4 linked regions of the Drosophila melanogaster genome follow. The protein of the gene in region 1 interacts with the protein of each later gene in a pairwise test. Each region holds a gene or a part of one and is shown in the gene's direction. Other genes may lie near its edges. The genes, in order: Spt-I, CG1572, CG15083 and Tsp74F.

The links.
Region 2: the proteins of Spt-I (region 1) and CG1572 interact in a two-hybrid assay, tested with the Drosophila melanogaster proteins (one large-scale study listed by BioGRID).
Region 3: the proteins of Spt-I (region 1) and CG15083 interact in a two-hybrid assay, tested with the Drosophila melanogaster proteins (one large-scale study listed by BioGRID).
Region 4: the proteins of Spt-I (region 1) and Tsp74F interact in a two-hybrid assay, tested with the Drosophila melanogaster proteins (one large-scale study listed by BioGRID).

Annotation. Positions count from the first base shown.
Region 1 is NT_033778.4:13,166,875-13,171,269, forward strand, and holds Spt-I (serine palmitoyltransferase subunit I), read left to right. Parts: upstream 1-1,623; 5' UTR 1,624-1,696; exon of another isoform or gene 1,697-1,940; 5' UTR 1,941-1,966; coding exon 1,967-2,014; exon of another isoform or gene 2,015-2,076; coding exon 2,077-2,576; exon of another isoform or gene 2,577-2,632; coding exon 2,633-2,960; exon of another isoform or gene 2,961-3,015; coding exon 3,016-3,381; intron 3,382-3,433; exon of another isoform or gene 3,434-3,442; coding exon 3,443-3,607; 3' UTR 3,608-3,870; downstream 3,871-4,395.
Region 2 is NC_004354.4:11,554,547-11,560,347, reverse strand, and holds CG1572 (uncharacterized protein), read left to right. Parts: upstream 1-1,710; 5' UTR 1,711-1,860; intron 1,861-3,909; exon of another isoform or gene 3,910-3,938; intron 3,939-4,001; 5' UTR 4,002-4,047; coding exon 4,048-4,164; intron 4,165-4,236; coding exon 4,237-4,422; intron 4,423-4,552; coding exon 4,553-4,732; 3' UTR 4,733-5,298; downstream 5,299-5,801.
Region 3 is NT_033778.4:18,833,627-18,837,344, forward strand, and holds CG15083 (uncharacterized protein), read left to right. Parts: upstream 1-1,636; 5' UTR 1,637-1,765; coding exon 1,766-1,886; intron 1,887-2,653; coding exon 2,654-2,721; intron 2,722-2,789; coding exon 2,790-2,952; intron 2,953-3,028; coding exon 3,029-3,129; 3' UTR 3,130-3,216; downstream 3,217-3,718. Other genes in the region: CG15098 (uncharacterized protein), read right to left, coding at 25-158, 339-492, 685-770, 850-1,036.
Region 4 is NT_037436.4:17,891,266-17,897,370, reverse strand, and holds Tsp74F (tetraspanin 74F), read left to right. Parts: upstream 1-1,508; 5' UTR 1,509-1,605; intron 1,606-2,158; 5' UTR 2,159-2,340; intron 2,341-3,814; exon of another isoform or gene 3,815-3,919; intron 3,920-3,984; 5' UTR 3,985-3,993; coding exon 3,994-4,071; intron 4,072-4,148; coding exon 4,149-4,340; intron 4,341-4,558; coding exon 4,559-4,654; intron 4,655-4,717; coding exon 4,718-5,014; intron 5,015-5,088; coding exon 5,089-5,136; 3' UTR 5,137-5,551; downstream 5,552-6,105. Other genes in the region: CG7402 (uncharacterized protein), read right to left, coding at 6,017-6,105.

The DNA of each region.
Region 1 (4,395 bases):
AATTGGTAGGTCCCGCAAAGAAGAAGAAGTAAAGTGATGTGATGTGAGGTGAAGTGAAGTGAAAACCACTAACTGGGTTGGCGCGGCGCCGTGTTTATTATTGATATTTATTTTGGTTTTTGGCTCGTGCCCGGCCAGCGAGTTACGTAAAAGAAAAGCCAACGTCAAAATGCAGCTCGAAAACTGGTTGCTCCACCGATTTTCGCACACACCAAGAGATACTTATTGCGCATTGCAAAAAGCGGGTAAAAGCGAAAATACCTAATCGAGGAAATACTGCGCTGGGATGCATCAATTGTGTCATGGAGTTAGTCGGGTGCATTGCTCGATTTATCTGCGAAAGTGGGCATGGTGTAGACATGGTAGCTTCATTCGAGCGCATCAAGTTCAAGAGAAATAGGAAGTGGCTTTTCTTTGCGCTATTTCGGTTTGCCATTATCGCATGGGCAATGCTAACTATAACTATTTGATTGATAGATAGTGATGTGAAAGGTACTTTGATTGGTAGCTACATAGTATAGTTCATCAGTATCAGTTGGCAATTATTTAATAATATTGTAATTTAAGACGAAATGGAACTTGATAAAAATGATTATGTATATTTTAAATACAATCGTGACTTTGAAAGAAGTATTTCCTTGGGTCTAATTGAATAGTGATATAGGTAAATAGTAAATAATTATATGAAATGCAATAGAATTTACTATATATTAAAACAAGGACATTTGCAAGGAAGAGTGAATACTTGTACCTAGACTAGATCGCGACACATAGCGTAAATTGTTGTATCTAGACTACCAGCCAGGTACACCCAAATATACACTTCCCATCACTGCCAATAGAAAAAAGTGTTAATTTCACAGAAAACGACAGCCGCAAGTGGCTGAAAATAAACCAAGGCAATTGCAAAATACTCTTGTTGTCCAGCTGATTTCACTTTGTGCACATACAAGTATCCGTTTCGATTCGCGTGTAATGTGATAAAGTTTTCTTGCAAAATGCAGAACTAACTATATCTCTTTGTTTACATCGGCTTTTTGCGGTGTTCTTTGTCTTCTCGCGGTTTTTATCTCGCGAACTCGAATTTCAGATGGCGCCAGTAACGCGGCTCATTCACATCGGTTGACCGATCGCAGCAGCAGTTCAATGGAAACTGAATGGATCGGCGGTTTGAATTGAATTCGATTTCGTTATTTCCCACCGCACGGTCACACTGCGATCGCTGCTCTGCCTATCGATATAAAATAGTAATCGATCATATATTTGAAATGATAACTAGAAAAGAACCGTTACGTAGCAAGTTTATTTGAGTTCAGTATCATAAAAATATTGATAAAATCTAGGTAATTTTTAATAAAAATTTAAAATCTGTTGTAACTTGTTGTATTTTGTTGTTAGCGAGTCAGCTCGGTGGGACAGGTCAGTGGGACACGTCAGCGGAACAGGTCGGTGGGTCAGATCGGCGGGACAGGTCGGTGGGGCAGGTGGGCGGGACAGGTCGACAGGACCAGGTTTTTGAATAACAAAAAATAAATAAAAACGTCCCCTAGTTCCATATTCCACTGTTCCTCCATCGCCGCCAATTTGGCGCACATCTTAAAGATATCCGCGTATTGGTATTTTTTAGTACATTCGTTCATCCATCTGTTTCGGCGGATATTTCACGCATTTTGCCTATAGTTAACTGAGTTTTGTGGTGAGTGCTCGATTTAAATGGATATTTAATGTAAGAGAATGTTGGAGAAGGGCGTGGTTGCACATTTTTCGCCCACTGGCAATTAGCCTATGTCAGCATACACACCCAATTGAAAAGATTTCCGTACCGTATGGTCGAATGCTTCAATTCTACATATGTATGGGGCATACCCGCGATAAGAAAGCGTCGGCTAGATGACACATAACTTCAGGGAATTAAGGCGGTTTCAATTGATTTTTCACAGAAAGGGCACGGAACCAGACTGTCAAAATGGTGGCCATCCAATTGTTCAACGAAATCGGCAGTATTTTCCGAAACGTAAGTTTGCATTCGCCTTTTTCACCACATTTAGCTTACTCCAGTTTCTACTCCTTCCACAGACCCCCACGTTTGCTCTCGTCTTGGAGACCCTACTGCTCATAACCGTGATTTGGTTGCTGCTCCACAGACGAGGAGGAGGTCGTCGCCGACAGCTGACCAAGGAGGAGGAAGACCGAATAATCGCCGACTATGAACCAGAGCCCTTGGTGGCCGACACCGATCCCAATCATCCCCTGCTGCACACCCGCGTTGTGCAGTCCAGGGTGGGCAAGCGCATCCAGGTCGATGGACACGACTGCCTAAATCTTGGCTCTCACAACTATCTTGGCTTCCTCGAGGACCAGGAGATACTGGAGGAGGCCTGCAAGTCGCTGCGCAAGTACGGAGTTGGATCTTGCGGACCTCGGGGCTTCTACGGCACTATGGACGTGCATCTGGACCTGGAGGATCGTATTGCCAAGTTCATGGGCCTGGAGGAGGCCATTGTCTATTCCTACGGCTTCTCGACCGTGGCCAGTGCCATTCCGGCGTATGCCAAACGTGGCGACCTTATCTTTGTGTAGGATTGTCTACTTCACCTACTCAGATTGGCGACTAATTACTTGTTATTTGTAGGGATGAGGCTGTCAACTTTGCCATTCAGAAGGGTCTGGATGCTTCACGAAGCACAATCGTTTTCTTTAAGCACAATGACGTTGAGGATCTAGAACGTCTGCTGATTGAGCAAGAAAAACGAGACCAGAAAAATCCGAAAAAGGCGGCTAAGACACGTCGCTTCCTCGTCGCCGAGGGTATCTATATGAATACGGGCGAGATTTGCCCACTTCCCGACCTGGTGGCCTTGCGTCAGAAGTACAAGCTGCGTTTGTTCATCGACGAAAGCATCTCCTTTGGCACATTGGGCCAGGGTGGTCACGGAGTTACGGAGCACTTTAATGTCGATGTAGGTGGTAAACCGGAAAGAAAAACTAAAATTATAACTGGTATTTTTCTTTTAGCGTGATGAAGTCGATCTGATATCGGCCGGCATGGAGGGTTCGATGGCAACAGTCGGTGGCTTCTGTGTTGGCTCGCACTTCATAGCCGAGCACCAGCGCCTCTCTGGCTTGGGCTACATCTTCTCGGCCTCGCTGCCGCCCATGCTCACCCAGGCGGCTATTTCAGCGTTGGATCGTTTCGAACGAGAACCACAAATCTTCGAGCAGCTGCAGGCAAAGTCTAAGACGTTGCACCAGAAGTTTTTGCGATTCAGCAAGCTAACCCTGCGCGGCGATGAGGTGTCACCAGTGAAGCACTTGTATCTTGCCCAGCCCGCCGAGAACTTTGACAAGGAACTGAAACTTCTAACAGAGCTGGCTGATAAGGTAGGCATTTTATTTCCCCATGCAATTATGAAAACTATACATTTCTACTCACTTTTCCCAGTGCATTGCTCGTGGAGTGGCTGTGGTACAGGCTGCCTACCTGCAGAACAGGGAACGCCAACCAGTCCGTCCCAGCATTCGCATTGCTGTCAACCGTTTGCTGGAGAGTTCGGAAATAGACAATGCGTTTGAGGTCATCGAGAGTGTTTCCAGCTCCGTCCTATAAGCCTTGTTGTTGGAAAGGAATGATCTTCTTTCGACAATGGCCTTGCTGTTAAGTTTTAAGGCCTGCTGGCCCCATCATTTTTTCATCACTTCTTCACGACCAGTCCAGTATGAATTGTTTAAGTTAATAGCTAGCCTTGCACTTGCTCTTTGCACTTTGTTGCATTGCATTTTAATGAAAAATTTTAAGTCTAGGAAAACTTTCAAAGATTACACGTTATAGATAACAGAGCTGGTTAAATAAAACTATTAAGTTTATTTGGTAGTTACGTGCCCTTTTATTGGTGTTTCTTATCGCCTGCGCAATCGCAAACGTTTTTGAATATCCCGATAAAGATAAGGGTAATATTATGTGGCATTTGTTGTAAAATTTACAAGAACAACTTCCACAAAGAAACATTCATTATTTATTTATGTTTTTCTTGCATGACAATTAAGATACACATCACACGCTTAATAATAACTAATATGTGGAATAAGCCAGATGGAATGGAAATGCTTTGAAACGATTTGATTGCCAGTGGAGCAGAGCTGTTTCCGAGTGGCGACCTAATCTGTGAGCAATAATCATAACCCTTCGACTTTCAAACCCATGTTTGTGCATTCGATTCACTGATGAACTTGACAACGACGACCCCAAATCATGATGTTGTGCACATAGCGCTCTGATTTCGATGCCGATATGCCAGCCGGCAATCAGCGCCAATTGAGCGTATACGTACTATGAACTTGGGTGCGGTGCTATCAGTGCGAATACGCAACATTTGGCGACAAAAACATGCAATTACA
Region 2 (5,801 bases), on another chromosome or scaffold:
CACACACTAGTATTTCTTTTCAGTGCACTCTCTATCGCCCTCACCCACTTTTCTCACTCTCCACTTTCAGGTGGCGCTGAGTCAGAGAAAAAGTCCGAGGAGCTTCCACTAGCAAGTTTAATTCCTTTCTTTTTAATTGCCAATCCGTGGGCGGCCAATGAACAGTGTCAAGGGGGCGTGGCCGGGGGCCTAGTTGCACTTGAAGATTACAAATATTAAGGTTGGCCGCTCCGCTGCTTGGCTGCTCTGCCGCTCACTCGATGACATCATGACGTCAGGCGTCATTTATACCGCGCTAGCCAGCAGTCAAGTCAACTTGTTGGCGTTGTTGGCTGAATTGCCTTGCTGATACCCTGGATGAAAACGCATCCGGGTGGCATAGACCAGTCATTATTTCCAATGTTGTGGCCAAAAAACTAAATATTTTCTTCCTTTAAATCTGAAAACCGTCTTTTGGCCAAAAATACGATTTATGCAAAGGGTGTTTTTATCATAACTTGTCTAAAAATGGTCATAAACGCATAGGAATGACTGTTTTGTGCAGCTAATAACCCCTACTAACTATCCCTATCACTTTTTGATGGATTTTGAAAAATTAATTTTTGGGTCGATTTTTGCATATTCGGTATTCATCAAAATTTGCGAAAAATGGCAAAAAATTAAAAATCCAAATTTTAAACACAGTTTGATTAGAATTTTGAATACGAACTCAACGAGGTATGACAATCCATATTTGGATCATTATTTCCAATGTTGTGGCCAAAAAACTAAATATTTTCTTCCTTTAAATCTGGAAAACGTCTTTTGGCCAAAAATACGATATGTACAAAGGGTGTTTTCTTATAACTTATCTAAAAATGGTCATATAAGTACAAGAATGACTGTTTTGTGCAGCTAAAAACCACTACTAACTATCCCTATCACTTTTTGACGGATTTTGAAAAATTAATTTTTGGGTCGATTTTCGCATTTTCGGTAAGGGGTAACATCATCAAAATTTGCGAAAAATGGCAAAAAATTAAAAATCCAAATTTTAAACACAGTTTGATTAGAATTTTGAATACGAACTCAACGAGGTATGACAATCCATATTTGGATCATTATTTCCAATGTTGTGGCCAAAAAACTAAATATTTTCTTCCTTTAAATCTGGAAAACGACTTTCGGCCAAAAATACGATTTAAATAAAGCGTGTTTTTATCATAACTTGTCTAAAAATGGTCATAAAAGTGCAGGAATGACTGTTTTGTGCAGCTAATTACCACTACTAACTATCTCTATCACTTTTTGATGGATTTTGAAAAATTAATTTTTGGGTCGATTTTCGCATTTTTGGTAAGGGGTAACATCATCAAAATTTGCGAAAAATGGCATAAAATTAATATTCCAAATTTTAAACACAGTTTGAGTAGAATTTTGAATACGAACTCAACGAGGTATAACAATCCATATTTGGACCATTATTTCGCATTTTTTGGCCCAAAAAGCGACATATTTAAAAAATTGCAATGCATGTTTTGTACTACCAACCTAATTCGCTTGTGAAGTGTTCTAAGTGATGCAGGGTATCCCCCAAGTCGAGTCGCAGTAAATCGGCCTGGAAGGCTTCTGCTGGGTCTTGTTTTGTTTTCGTCTCGGCTGCGTCGACTGCGACGCTGAAAACTGTGGCAGAGGCAGCGGGCCAAACGCTTTTATTTTTCAGTTTCGGTTTCAGTTTCGTTTGCAACGTGCGCGCGAAAAGACGCAAAAGTCGAAAGAAAAGTGCGAGGAAAACCAGTTGGCTGAGTCCTACGCCGAATTTTGAGAAAAGTAAGAGTAAGATCCATACCGAAAACTTTAGATATACAGAGAGAGAAAGAGGTACATACCACCCATTTCTACCGCTGGGACTATATGTGTGTTTTATTGTTTTTTTTTTTTTTTTATATATTTTTTTTGTACATTTCGAAAAGCAAAAGGAATTGGAATTCTCGGTACTTGGCTGTGCATTAATATGTTGTTAATTTTTTTTCTCCTACAAGCATTAAACTGCATTATTATTGACGGCGATGATATCATTTCCAGAGTTGAAAATGCGAAACCGAATGTGAGTCGCGTTTGCAGTGGGGAAATATTCTTATCAGCAGAACATTTGATAGCTTGCCTTTTGGTACATATGTATATTGATTAGTTGTTGTCATTTGGGAAATTGACAAAAGCGGCGTCTTTGTTCATCTCTTCCGGTTCCAAAGAGGAATCTTAAAGGGCCCAAAACAACAACCTGTTGCTTGGGCCAAGTTGCTTGGCATGCGAATTAAACTATCGTACATCATAGGCATGATATCATACCGCTTTTCGGCGGAAATCCGCCATCTAATCAATATTCGGAATGTATTTTGTTTAATTCCGATAAAATGTCGCACATGGGTTCTTGTTATTTTGGTTTTTGCTTTGTTTTGTTTTCTTATTATTATTTTTTTTTTTGGTTTTCGGTTTTTGGTTTCGGTATTACGCTTCGGAATTTGGGCCGCACCCCTTCCATGCCACTGGGATATACATATGTATATATGTATGTGTATGTATGTGCCTCTACCACTTTTGTGAATTTCGATGAGCATCATTCACATTGTGTGTAAACTATTGCGTCACCGGTGGCGTCATCGTTTTTGAACTCGTCTAATGCGCCACCGATTTTGAGGAAGGTCTAAGTTCTGAAATCCAACCCCATTCCAATTGCCATCAATCTTGTATGAGCACATTTCCTAAAACAATATAATTCGTTGGTATTTTCTAAATTGATCTCTTCCTTGCTTAGTTAAAATATCAAGAATATAAAATTAGTTACGATTTTCAACTCCTCTGTATGGGTCTTACAAGGCTTTTATTTAACTCATGTTTGTTTTAAGCCAAATATAGCAAATATAGCTATAGCAGAGCAGTTAATTTGGAATTAATCTCACTATCCTTCCGTTTGTTATTTGTTTTAAGCTAAACTGGTTTTATTTGTTTGCCTACAATGTTATTCGGCTTGATTACCAATCGTCAAATCTGAAGTCAGAACTTATAGTCACAATCTGATTTCCAGATCTGGCACGGCATTTGCGAATACCCTATAACCATTATGCCCACCCACGGCATCTGTATACTTAAAGTGTGTGTGTGTGTGTGTGTGTGTCCCAATTACGAACGAGGCGCTTTTCTTCAGTTTTCCTTCAGCTTTTCCACAACGAACAGCAGGCAGCAGACCATAAAGTTCATGACGTTTATGCATACATATCTACATACATTCATATATGTACATACATACAGACTTACATATATCCAATCCTAGGTGAACATATAGACGAGAGCGATTCATCTATTTTGTTCGCTGCCGATCCCCAAAAAGGGGGGAAATCGTTGCGCGGGGGGAGAGGAGTGGTTCTGTATGGGGCGGGGGGGTTTTCTCTCGTCGGTCAAGTAAATAGATTTTTCCGATTCTCCCACTGCTTCAATAACGCATTTGGCGCTTTTTCGCCTGCGAGGCCGGCATTGAAAATTGTTTTAAAATTAGACAAAAAGCAAAAATCCAAAACAAAAACAGCAACAAATGGATGGCCAAAAATACACAAACATTGTATGGATACATTGCAGATCGATGGGCGTGGCAAGGGCGTTCGATCTGTAACAGCTGGCCAAAAAGTACAAAAGATACAAAAAAAAAAAGCAATAAATAAATAAAAACACACCATATGAATTACGATATTCGGGGAATATAAGTGAAAGAAAAAGAACCTAAGACTTACTCATTTTAATCAAATAATTAAACCATAAATTAACACATGGATGCAAATATACTTTGCATGAATCACCAGCAAATTTGTTGGCTTATTTCAACGAATTTTAAGCATTTACAATTTGATAAGTATTATTATTTAATTTCAGTTCTTATCACCGAAGTTTCTTATATTTCTGTATTGGTATTAGCATCCAATATTTTACTTTTTTTTTGTGTTTATTCATTTATTTATTTGTCTTTGCAGACCCCACCTTTAACCCCCCGAAAAGAACCACCGAAGCAGAGCGAAGATGTCGCATTCAGTGACCATTACCCGCACCACCACCAGCACCACCAACACCTCCTACATTGTCCTGAACACGGGCTATCTGAAGACTTTCCCCGGCATCCTCAAGCTCTTCGAGCTGGTGCGTTAATGCTCCCAGAATTCGATAGCAACTTTGAACTTAATGTAACAACCATCACGATTTTTTGCGCAGATCATTGGTGCTTCCATTGTGGGAATTCTGGCGTTCAACTACCAGGACTACCACAGATACTTCTATGGCCAGCAGGATCTGTTCCATTATCTGATGGCCGTTACCTTTATGATAGGAACGTTCTGTTTACTCCTCGCCTGCCTCACGTCGCTCAGCACGGGCGGCATTATTGCCAAGACGATCTATGTGAGTATAATCATCATTGCTATATCTTTTGTATACTTTAGTATTAGCCATGGAACTCCAAACGTACATATATATACTTCGCCTTGTATCTGCAATCCGTGCATTTCAACGACCATTAACCTTTTTGCAGGAGCTGATTTACCACAGTGTGGCCGCCATCCTGATCCTGGTCTCGTCCACCATCCTGCTGCTCAAGCTGCGCGATGTAAAGCACGACGCCTATATGGCAGCCGGTGTTTTGGGCCTGGTCAATGCGGTGCTGTACTTCATCAGCGCCTTCCTGGCCCACCGATCCTATCGCGGCATTTAAGCACTAAAGCACCCAAAACCCACCGCCCACTCGGCCATTCAAGTGGAATTTGCAATCTCGAAGCATTTGTTCTTCCCACAACCAACTCTAGCCACTGGTCATGCGAAGCAGGAGAAGGAGGCGAGAGCCCAGGGATATACAAACATAGATGTAGAGAAAGTGGGTGCCAAGCGGCGGAATCTTTGTTGTACTGTGAAACGTTCTTTGGCGCTAGTTACACTTACTTGTACTTTTACCGATATATACAAAACTTTTTTTTTGTCTCACTTTCTTTTGTACCAAACAGATTGTCATGTATTCGAATAAAGATGTGTGTCTATATGTTTTTTCTAAATGTGTAGTAGTTTGTTTATTTGTTGCTTCAGCTGCAATAGTTTTTTATTGTCGGCATGCTTTAATTGTGTTGGCCAGTGTACTTTGTACTTTTTGATTTTGAACCGATCGTAAAAAGTGTTGCATACTTTTGGGCCATGCGGGAAATGTTGCTGTTAGCAAGCAAATATATAAATTCGATGAAATCATAATTTCATTTAATTTAATACCAAAGAGTAATAGAAAAAACGTGGTGGTAATTTTTATGGTTTTTATTGAATATATTTTAAATTAGTTATCTATAAAATAATTACTATATAATATAATATATAATAGAATTTGCATCTTTGTTTGTCTTCTCATAGAAATAGATTCTCTAAACACAAAAAATCAATTGAAATTACTAATTACTAATAATAATTAAAACACACTTCTCGCTCCCTCTGGCGCAGTTTTTATTATCTGTTGATGGGCATAAAGCCCTCGCCTTTAACTACTAATTTACATATACAGTAAACACAAATAAGTGGTTTAGGTGTATTAAAAAAAAAAATCATAGTAATTAAGAGAAGTACACGCAAGTATTAAATATAAAAGAAAAGGGTAATCGATTACGATAAATTAAGCATTTTTCTTTAACAATTAACTGACCCTCCTTCGATCGCCGACCACACAAACGTTTCGCCTAATAAATACAACTCGTATATCAAGCATTAAGATATGATTATCGAAAAAAAAAAGAATTACATTTAATTAT
Region 3 (3,718 bases), 5.7 Mb from region 1:
CCAAACGGGAAGCTACACTGGAGCTTAAATCTTGGTGTAGCTGGGATAGGAGTTGGTCTGCTGGGTCGGCTGTGGGATCAGCGGGCGCTGGATCTCACGGGATGCCTGGATCTGCTTGAAGAGCGAGTAGATGCCGTAGTAGAGATACCAGGTCAGCACTGAAAACGAGCGAATGGAGAAAAATAAGCATCGTGCCCAAGCGCAATTATAGAACGATCGCAGACCGTCGAGCGATAAGCGCAATGGGGATCCACAATTTCGCAACAACGGCCAGTGTGTATTGTGTATACCCATTTCCAGATAGAGCTTATGTATGTATGAAGTGGTGAGTCACTTACAGAGCAGGCCAACATCCACGAAAATGATTGGAAGAGCGCTCAGGAAAGATGTATTTCCGATGATCTGGGCCAGCATTGCAATATTGGTGATAATTCCAAAGACAAGCAGCACTCCATTGTTGATCAGCCAGGGCAGCAGGAGTAAATGGCGTTCCTGAAAGGCAAACGCTATTAGAACCATCTCTATCTCTAGTTAGTATGGTGTATGTACATATGTATTTGCAAAGAAACTTGCCGGTTTTTTTTACAGAATAGTGGGCTTTTAAAAAGGTCTAACTCTAGATATGTACTATAGTAGACACATATATACGCGATTGTACAGATTGCATATTGATACTAGACTTACCTTAACGGTACCTGCAACCAACATGGCCGAAGCCAGAAGATTAATCACCTTGAGCGCCAGGTAAACACTGAAAACGATGATTAGCACTGCAATAACCGCAAGAACAATGAAATACAATAAAAAATATACGATTGGTTGTGGGTGCACTCGATGGTTAGCCCTTACCACTGCGAATCTCGGTGGCCGTCTTGTTAGAATCTTCCGATCCCTTGGCGATCTGCTGCGCAATTTCATCGACGAATCCGAGGGCCAAGGACAAGAGGATCGTGGCCAAGAAGGATAGAATCACGCCCAGCCATCCAATGACCACACCATAGGTGTTCAGGCGCATACAGAAGACCCTGGACAGCATTCTGGATTCACTTGATTTCGTGCTAATGCGAAGATAAAGACAATTTTACTTCAGTTCGCCGGCGCAGCAAAATTGCAATTGCTTGATAAGTCGCAATTGGCTGACAATTAAAAGCTTTTGGGTACAGCGGCGTTGCCAGACTGGTTCAAGCAGTTGGTGTCGAAACTGTGACTTGTTCACCAGCTTTTAATGTGACTTTTTAACGCTAATTGTTTAAAATTCTTTTAATAACATTTTTATATTTTAAATATTTTTATGCATTTATTATTTGGCATGATAGTTAAAAAATATTTATTTATGTATTCATTAACACTGCACAGCAGCGGCTTACTTTCATAATATTTTTCAAGGTGCTAATAGTAGCTACATTACATATATAATACAGCATTAAATCTCTCTATTATTTTAAAGACAATTCCCCATTTTATTCATTTCACTCTTAAATGACGAAACATATGCAAACAAATTCATATAGTAAATGAGTGCACATATATTTTTTAAGAACATATCAGACGTAGTTTTTCCACGCTCGAAAAAAAAGTATTTTCGTGTTGCATAGTTTACGCAACCGTTTCTTCTGAGCGGCATCGGCATTTGCGCCACACTTATTATTTGATTCTTGCCCAGTGCGGTTGTGTTTCCGTGCGCTAGGTGTTCCCAAACCGGTTTAAGTGCCATACTAGCCATATTTGTATTTGGAAAATTCGCTGTAAACCACAGAGTTTCAAAATGAAAATCGATCTGACGGTGGAAAATGGCCCGTGCAATACCGATTTGCGGAGCTGGTGCCTGGGAATCGCGATCTATTGGCTATTGAGCATGACTTTCAACGTTATATTCGCTCCAAACGGTAGGAGAAATGCGAGAGGCGTGGCATTTGTTTATTTTCAGAAGCTGATTGCCCAGACTGACGCTATTTCCATAGAGAGACAATACATTCATGATGTTCACATGCGAAATAAACGAATGAGCTAATCCATTCGACACAAACGCGTTCCAATTCACAACCATTTTGGATACAACACCTCACCATCGATGACGACATCGCCGACAAATTCGAGCTGACAATTCATTTTAGGTGGCCCGAAATGCCATTTTCTCACAGGCTTGAATTTTCCAGCACAAAAAAGAAAATTAAATAATTTCCTTGGGCTGTGCATGGCGCAGAATTAAACTTAAAAGATTATTGGGTTTTAACAGTTGAACGCCATATGTCATAAAAACACTTAAAGCCCTGCATTTGTCCATGTCTCAAAGAAGTTCTATAAACCTTATTCTAAGCTGTTTTAAAAAGTTTGTCATATTTCATGTATGAAATGTGTTTAAAATATAAAAGAAGAATTTATGTTTTAGTTCTTTATGTATATGTACACATGTACATGAAGTGCATCAGTGCATCAATATGTACTCATTATATACGAAGATACATTTAGCAGTCGTGTTCTCAAATTTCAGACGGGAAGAAAGATAAGAGCACAGCAACGTTTTGCTTGGAATACATTGAGTCACTTATAAGCCCAAGTTTATGTTTACTTTCCACTAATTGTAACGGCTTTTTTTATGAATGAAATATGTACGTTCAATAATTTCTATTTAAATTCACTTGAATCCTTGCAGTTCTTACCTTTATTGGATTTGCCATCGTAGTAGTCGCCAATATTTGCTTATTGATAGGAACCCTGAAGGTAAATAAAATACAACCCATTCCGTTTTATTGAGTCAACGAAACCCAATCTACCTTTCCGAATTGCAGGAAAAGCCAATTCTGGTGTTCGTCTGGCTGATCTTCGCTGCCATTGAAGCCATCTCCTTTCCGTTTGCCGTCTTCGGGGTTATCTTCCACTACGGAGGATATCGCGAGGCTACCGGAATGAACAACGTTTTCGGTGCCCTGCTCGTTTACATCATCACATTTCGTAAGTATCGGCTATGAACATCAAATTGAGTTAACAAAAATGTACAGATCATACATATTCTCCGCTACACTTTCAGTATTGATCCTCTTCAGCGCACGAATTGTGTACTCCTTCTACCTCCAGCTGAAAAACAGCGAAGCCAGCAAACAAACACCGCGCGCCATGAATGTGGTTTAGTCCTTATCATTCTACACTACATAAATTGTCGGGGAAGAGCCCACCGTTCGTTCATCTCAGTGTTTGCAATAAAATGCTTTGTTTTTTATTTGATTGCAGTTTGTCGTTAACGCACATCTCTTACTCACATCGACTTGGGATCAACTATCAACAGTTAAATACATTGGTTACATACATATACATACAGGGTGCTATTGGCTATTGGGCTACCGCGTTCTTAAACATTCAACATTTAAAACGATCGATCACACTACGGACAATTATATACTCTCGACACAGTTCTCTATCTATATAGCTAGCTATCATACTCGGCATCGTCTTCTGCTCCAATCTGCTTACTTAGACATAAAATGGAAAGTTGGTCATCTTATTGTTGCTGCTGTTATTGATGTTTTGCGACTGCGTAAAGCTCGTCTCGGCATTTTGGGTAGTTAGCTTAGCCTGCACGGCCGCCAGTATTCGCACAGCCTGGCCAGTACTGCCCGACTCCATGGCAGACTCCATACCTAGGTTCAGGTTCAGCTTGAGCTCGAAGTGTGACCCACTCGCTTGGATCTGCGACTGCGTCTGCCGTTGGGCAACAGCCGGT
Region 4 (6,105 bases), on another chromosome or scaffold:
CTGACGCTTGTCACCTTCGCCGAGCTCAACGAGGCTTTCAACTCGCTCACACTAATCGGATCTCAGTAAGTATAGGTTCATAGGCGAAATTGACTGGCTTAAAATTAAGAATTCCCCATAATATTAATGATTCTTGGCCACTTGAGCAAGAATAACTGAGCACTAGTCGCAAACTTCGATTTCTGAGCAATATTTTATCATGAGGCGCCTGTGGGACGAGTGTGTGGAAATGGATTTTATGGCATCTATAAAACGCAAAAGGTTCCCACAGCGAGTTTATAAGATGCAAAATCAACAGGCAGAGTAATTGTTTTTCTTTTTTTTATGATTTATTTTTATTTTCGCCATGCAACTAACACATTGGTCGGTGATTACGGGGACATGGCGGGTGGTTGTTGTTAACACGGCCATAAAAGTGCTAAACAAGCCAACAATTTGAGCGCTTTTCAACCGTGCTGTGGAGTGTAAGTAGGGAGGGTGAGCTATTCGTCTATCGGCAGCCAACTTTCTGACCTTAGCTTGGAAACTGCTTAAAAAATTACTCAACTCAGCCAAAACTATTTGTTCGACTAACAAGAAAATTAAGCTGTTAATTGCCAAAGGTTGTCCTTCGGCACAGCAATTGAGTTCGACCAGCAAAAGTAACATGAAACACGGATAATAAGCATATTTTCCTTGTGCTCTCTTGGAACACTAAGCCCTTGAAATCAAGAAAGAAAGATAGCCTCGCCAATGTTTGATTTCTTTTCTAATATTTTCAATTAAATTTCGATATTTATACATACATGATACAGAAGACAAATTCACATACTACGAGCAATAAAAAGAAGATTTTTAGAAAAGTTCCAAGCTTTAAAACTATGATTCTAGAATGCGTAAGAAAGGAACGGACTGACAAACTTGGCTTTATCAAGTTGTCTGATCAACACTCGTATATTGAATATAAATATGGTTGCAAATAGATGCAAATGATCCAACTGAAGAAAGAAAACAATCATTACAAATAATCCTTGTTCAAAAAGTATTTAAACTTAAACTGTTATAACAAAACGGTAACCAATTCGGATAGATTTGCCTCCAAAATCAATTATGCGGACATTGCCATGTGCAGACCGAGAACTAAAACAAATATCAAATTTCGTTTGCTTATCAATATTTATATTTTGCAATTGCCCGAAATGAAACAAAGGTGCTGGCTGTGGACGACGGATCATATTTTGTTTGCTCAACGCATTTTCACATGCCGACTCCGCAAAGGGAAGTGTGGGTAAAAGAAGCCGAAAAATAGATGAATAAATAAGAGAGAAGCACGAAAACATTCAGAGAAGTATTTGCGGTTTGTAAGCGAGTAGAGACTCCCATCTCTCTCGCACCTGCAGTGCTAAGCCTTCGAAAACAGGGGCTCAAGTCGAAGTTGTTGTAATGTCGAGAGACCGAGACCAGAAAAAGCCCAACAACGAAGCTCTTTGTGAGCGAAACTAATAAAAAACCGATCGCCCCGACTGTTCCCACAACCAGTTCCAAGCGAGCTCTCGGGCGGTAGAGTCGTCCCTGTCCCACATATAAAACCATAGTATCATAGCTCCCCGGATCCACTCAATCCCTGTAAGGCGAGACTTAGGTCCATCAAGTGAATCGTATAGTTTTATCCCCACGAAATATCCCGACAGTACAGTGATAACTCCGCTAAGGATAATGCTGCCTTGGCAAGCGTGACGTAACTTGAAAAGCAAATGTTAAAAGCAAGGCGGCAAAAAAAAAGTTGTTTGCCATGGGAGAACTGCAATTGACAATAACAGCAACAGCAATCGAATAAAAACTCAATAACAATTATCAACTGCGAGTGACGCTTAAAACAAATGCAAGAAACCTGTATTAAAAAAGTTTCATAAAAATTCGAGAGCAAATATTAACGAATATTGCATAAATTGCTATATGCGTATGTAAACTTTGCGATCTCTTTTGATCTGAATGAAGTGATCTGAATGAAGAATGAACCAAAAATTTAAACAAGTTAATAAAATCGACCGAAAAAATGAATGAATGCGTCTTCATCAAAAAGTTGTTTATAAATAAAAGTGAAATTAAAAACTCTTCTACTTCTTACCACAAAAATGTTAATTGAAAGGGTTAAAATAATTTCCTTCTTTTTTTATAGCCACTCCCAAAGTTTCTGTGCATTCAAGTGCAACTAAAAATAGTAGCCGTTTCTTTTGTTTTGCTTTGTGTTTTTGCAAAACAACAAATTGAAGGCAATTTACATACACAAAGCTGAGAAAGAAAACCGCCAAAATTGGTTACCTAACGAAAACTTCGTTTGTGCTACGGGACGGCAAACTTGTAAGTGAATTTGCTTATTAGATAATATTTCATTTGTTTTAATTAATCATAAATTTCATACAGAGGTCCTTCAAATGCGACCACTTTCCTATTTTCACTGCTATATTTTCAAGCTTCGAGTATAAACAAGGAGTACATATTTCATATTTATAGCCTCGACCGATTCTGCTCACTAACTTTTAAGCTAACATCACCTACAAATAAAGATTACATACGAGTTTTAAACATAAATGACCTAGTAAAGCTATTATTCCTATGATTACAGATAGATAACAGGGTATGAAAGGAGCATAAAAGAGTGAGCTCAGAGTTTAGTAGATAGTACTTAAAAAGTCTGATTTTCTAAGTTTTTCATGAGTGACAGGACTTGGAATCCGAGCTTTAAGTGATCTATTACCATGTGTAGCACGTACAGCTGAACAATTACCATAAACTTAATTGGTCTCAGCTTACAAGCGGCAGATATAGTGATTCGCCCCGCCGCCAACGCCCCGTCATCATTAATGGCGACTTTCGGATGACTTACTGTCATCTCAGGCACGATTCGGATTCGCTTAACATGATAACGTCGAATGAAATATAGTGAATATTCAGATAGTGTGAGAACATTTTTTTAATAGCCCCGCCAATTACCTGGCGAACTCGACTGCGGCTTAACATATTTGAATTTGGAGAATAATGCTCGAAATGAGATGTCGTTTACCAGCTAGTGGGGTGAAGGGGTACCCGACTGCTCAGCCTGCAATTACTTTTAATTAGCATTTAGAACATCGCACTGCGCCAAGATGATTCAGAGCTGGGACGGCACTCGTAGTTAAACCACTACAATTAGCTGACAAATTTTCGGGCAGGCTATTACTTTGATTTATTTGTTTTGATCGCTCCAACTTCAACGGGGGGAATTCGTCTCGGAATCGCCGCGCAGCGAACCCTTCAAGTGGGCCTAATGCGATGTAAGTAACCAAAAAAAAAAAAAAAAACGCGAGTCTTTAGAGCCGTAACTGACAAAATCCACAAGACGTTGGCAGCCACCGCCGATAATGAACGCTTGTCTAGGCACATAGCGTTGGCAGCTTCGCTGCTCAGTCGCAGTTCCATAAAGTGGGTCATGGTTAAGTGTACTTCGGTCGCTTCGCGGTTCGGACCCGGCTTAGAAAGAGCGAAACGTTCGGCCGAAACCACAGCTGCGCATGCGCATGCGCATGCGCACCACTCGCCAAGCCGAACACCATTGATAGGCAGCCCATATGTTGGAGTGAATCTTACGCGAAAGAAACTCGTTAAAAAGTACATTCTTGAGATTACATCACATTGCAATAGAGAGTAGGCCAAAAATAGCTAATTTGAAATCGGGATGATGAGTTATGATTAACTTGGTTATCGCTAAGGACCTGTTGAAATTGAATGATCTCTAAGAACTTTAACTTAATTAAAGCATAGTGTGAAATTATTTTTATCTGTCTTTGGATTATAGAGTTGTATCGCCATCAAGAACCTCTGCATCTCATCCTACCCCAAATTCCCTGCATAATTCTCCTCGCATCAATATCCTCTGGGGGCTCTTCACCTGTAGACAAAAGTAAACAATGTGAAATCTTTTTATCCCATTGAATTGGTTAATTGAAATGTATTATCCTTTCAAAGGAAGACGATATGGGCTTCAGTTCGCGAATGGACTGCTGCGGGCAGTTCGTCAAGTACAGTCTTTTCATAGCCAACTTTGTGATATTCGTGAGTATCCAGGAGTCGCTTGAATTAAAAAACAATTTAAGAGAAATAAATAATACCAAAATATATGTATTTTCCAGGTGGGTGGAGCGATTGTGTTTTGTCTCACCCTGTGGACTCTGGTGGATCGGAGTTTCGTCAATGAGTTGCTCGGTACAAATCTTTTCTCGGGTGCTGTCTACGTCCTGCTGGTTACATCGATTATCATTTGTCTGGTGTCCTTTTTGGGTTGTGTTGGTGCCGGAAAAGAAGTCAAATGCCTCCTCCTAACAGTAAGTAAACAACAAACAATAAAAACAAAAATTTCATTTTATTAAATAATTAACTTTGTCCTTTTTGGAGTAATCATATCTGGATTTGCATATTTACAAAGATACCATCTAAAGAAATGATCTATTTGATTTAATCTTCTAAATGTTGTCAGTCTCTTCTTTACTATTATGCAAACACCATTTAGCTAAAAAATTAACCACTCGTTTTCCCTTTGCAGTATTTCATAATAGTGGCCCTAGTTTTCGTGACCATGCTAATTGGCGGTGTCTTGGGTTACGTGTTCCGCGAACGAGTTCAGCAGACCATGCGGCAGGTGAGGCAAATCCATCGATAACAACACGTGGGTGGCACATTAACCCTTACCAATATCCCATAGGAAATGCGTTCCACGATGGCACTATACGGAAGCAGGAGGGAGATCACCCAGGCCTGGGATTTGACCCAGGAGCGACTACAGTGCTGCGGAGTGGATACGTGGCACGACTGGAATAGGTACGGACCAGTGCCTGAGTCCTGTTGCCAGGAGCTTTTCGGTGGACAGCGTAAGGAGTGCACAATCTTCCCGACCATTACGAATCTGTACAACCAGGGATGCCTCTATGTGACGACCAACTTCATCAGGGATCACGCGGCGGTTATTGGAGGTACATCCATAGCGGTGGCCATACTGATGGTAAGTGAACGCCTTTCTTCGGTAGCAAAATTATTATATAATATATAATTAATTGGAATTTGGTTTATTTTTAGATCTTTGGCATGATATTCTCCTGTCTACTATTCAATATGATCGAATAGCGCCAACGAGGAGGGGAATCCCATGGTCACGCAGGAAAATCAGATACCAAGGTCCACAGTCCAGAAGAAACACATTTTTAAACATAATTCGCTGGAGTTAAATTAAGAGTATTATCTGAGTGTATGCTAATGTTAGATCTGCACAGATCAACTGTCCGCTTGTATTATGTATTGTATTGTATGTATATACGTGTTTAGATACGCATAACTAGTGAGTATTGAACTTAGTAGGGATTCTATTGTTATTATCTGTTGCATAAATTTGTATTATTTGTGTGAAGTTTTGTAAATTTCCTCTTAAGCCACCGTTATCAACAACCCATTACAATTGCTAGTTTTAAGTGAGCTTTTCAATACTTAATAGAGAATTTAGATGTCTGTCCATTGTTGTTTTCAATAAAAATTAGTTAAAACCAAATACTTCGGAAATGTTTATATATATTAATATTTTTTATTTTTAATCCAATTATCATTAAACGATATGTTGTGATATGAGTATAAAAAAAAAACGAAAAAGGATAAATATTTAAAATGATCTGGTCCATGAAATATGTCCATGTTACGTAAAAATTTGTATTTAAAAAACGGTTTAAAGTATTAAACTGTTTTTGATCGAAGCTTTAATCTACATGCAATATTGTTGCATATTTTTAGGTTTTTTTTGTCTTAAGTCACATTTTTGAAGCGGGAAAATAGGGAAAGTATGGATCACGCTGTGACCTGAAGGTGTTTACAAAGTGAATTATCATCAGATAATATAACAACTTTTATGTTATTTAACTGAAAATAAGTTCGCACTCAAGCGACTTTAAAGATTTGAATAAAAAAGTATTTTCTTTAATTAACTTTTATTAAAAATTATTCTACTAAGAACTTACAGCTACAACAGATTTCTGTATACTAAGCCTATAATACTACCCATCGCAAGCCATAAATTGATGGAGAAGGTGCCGGAACCTGATTGCGTAT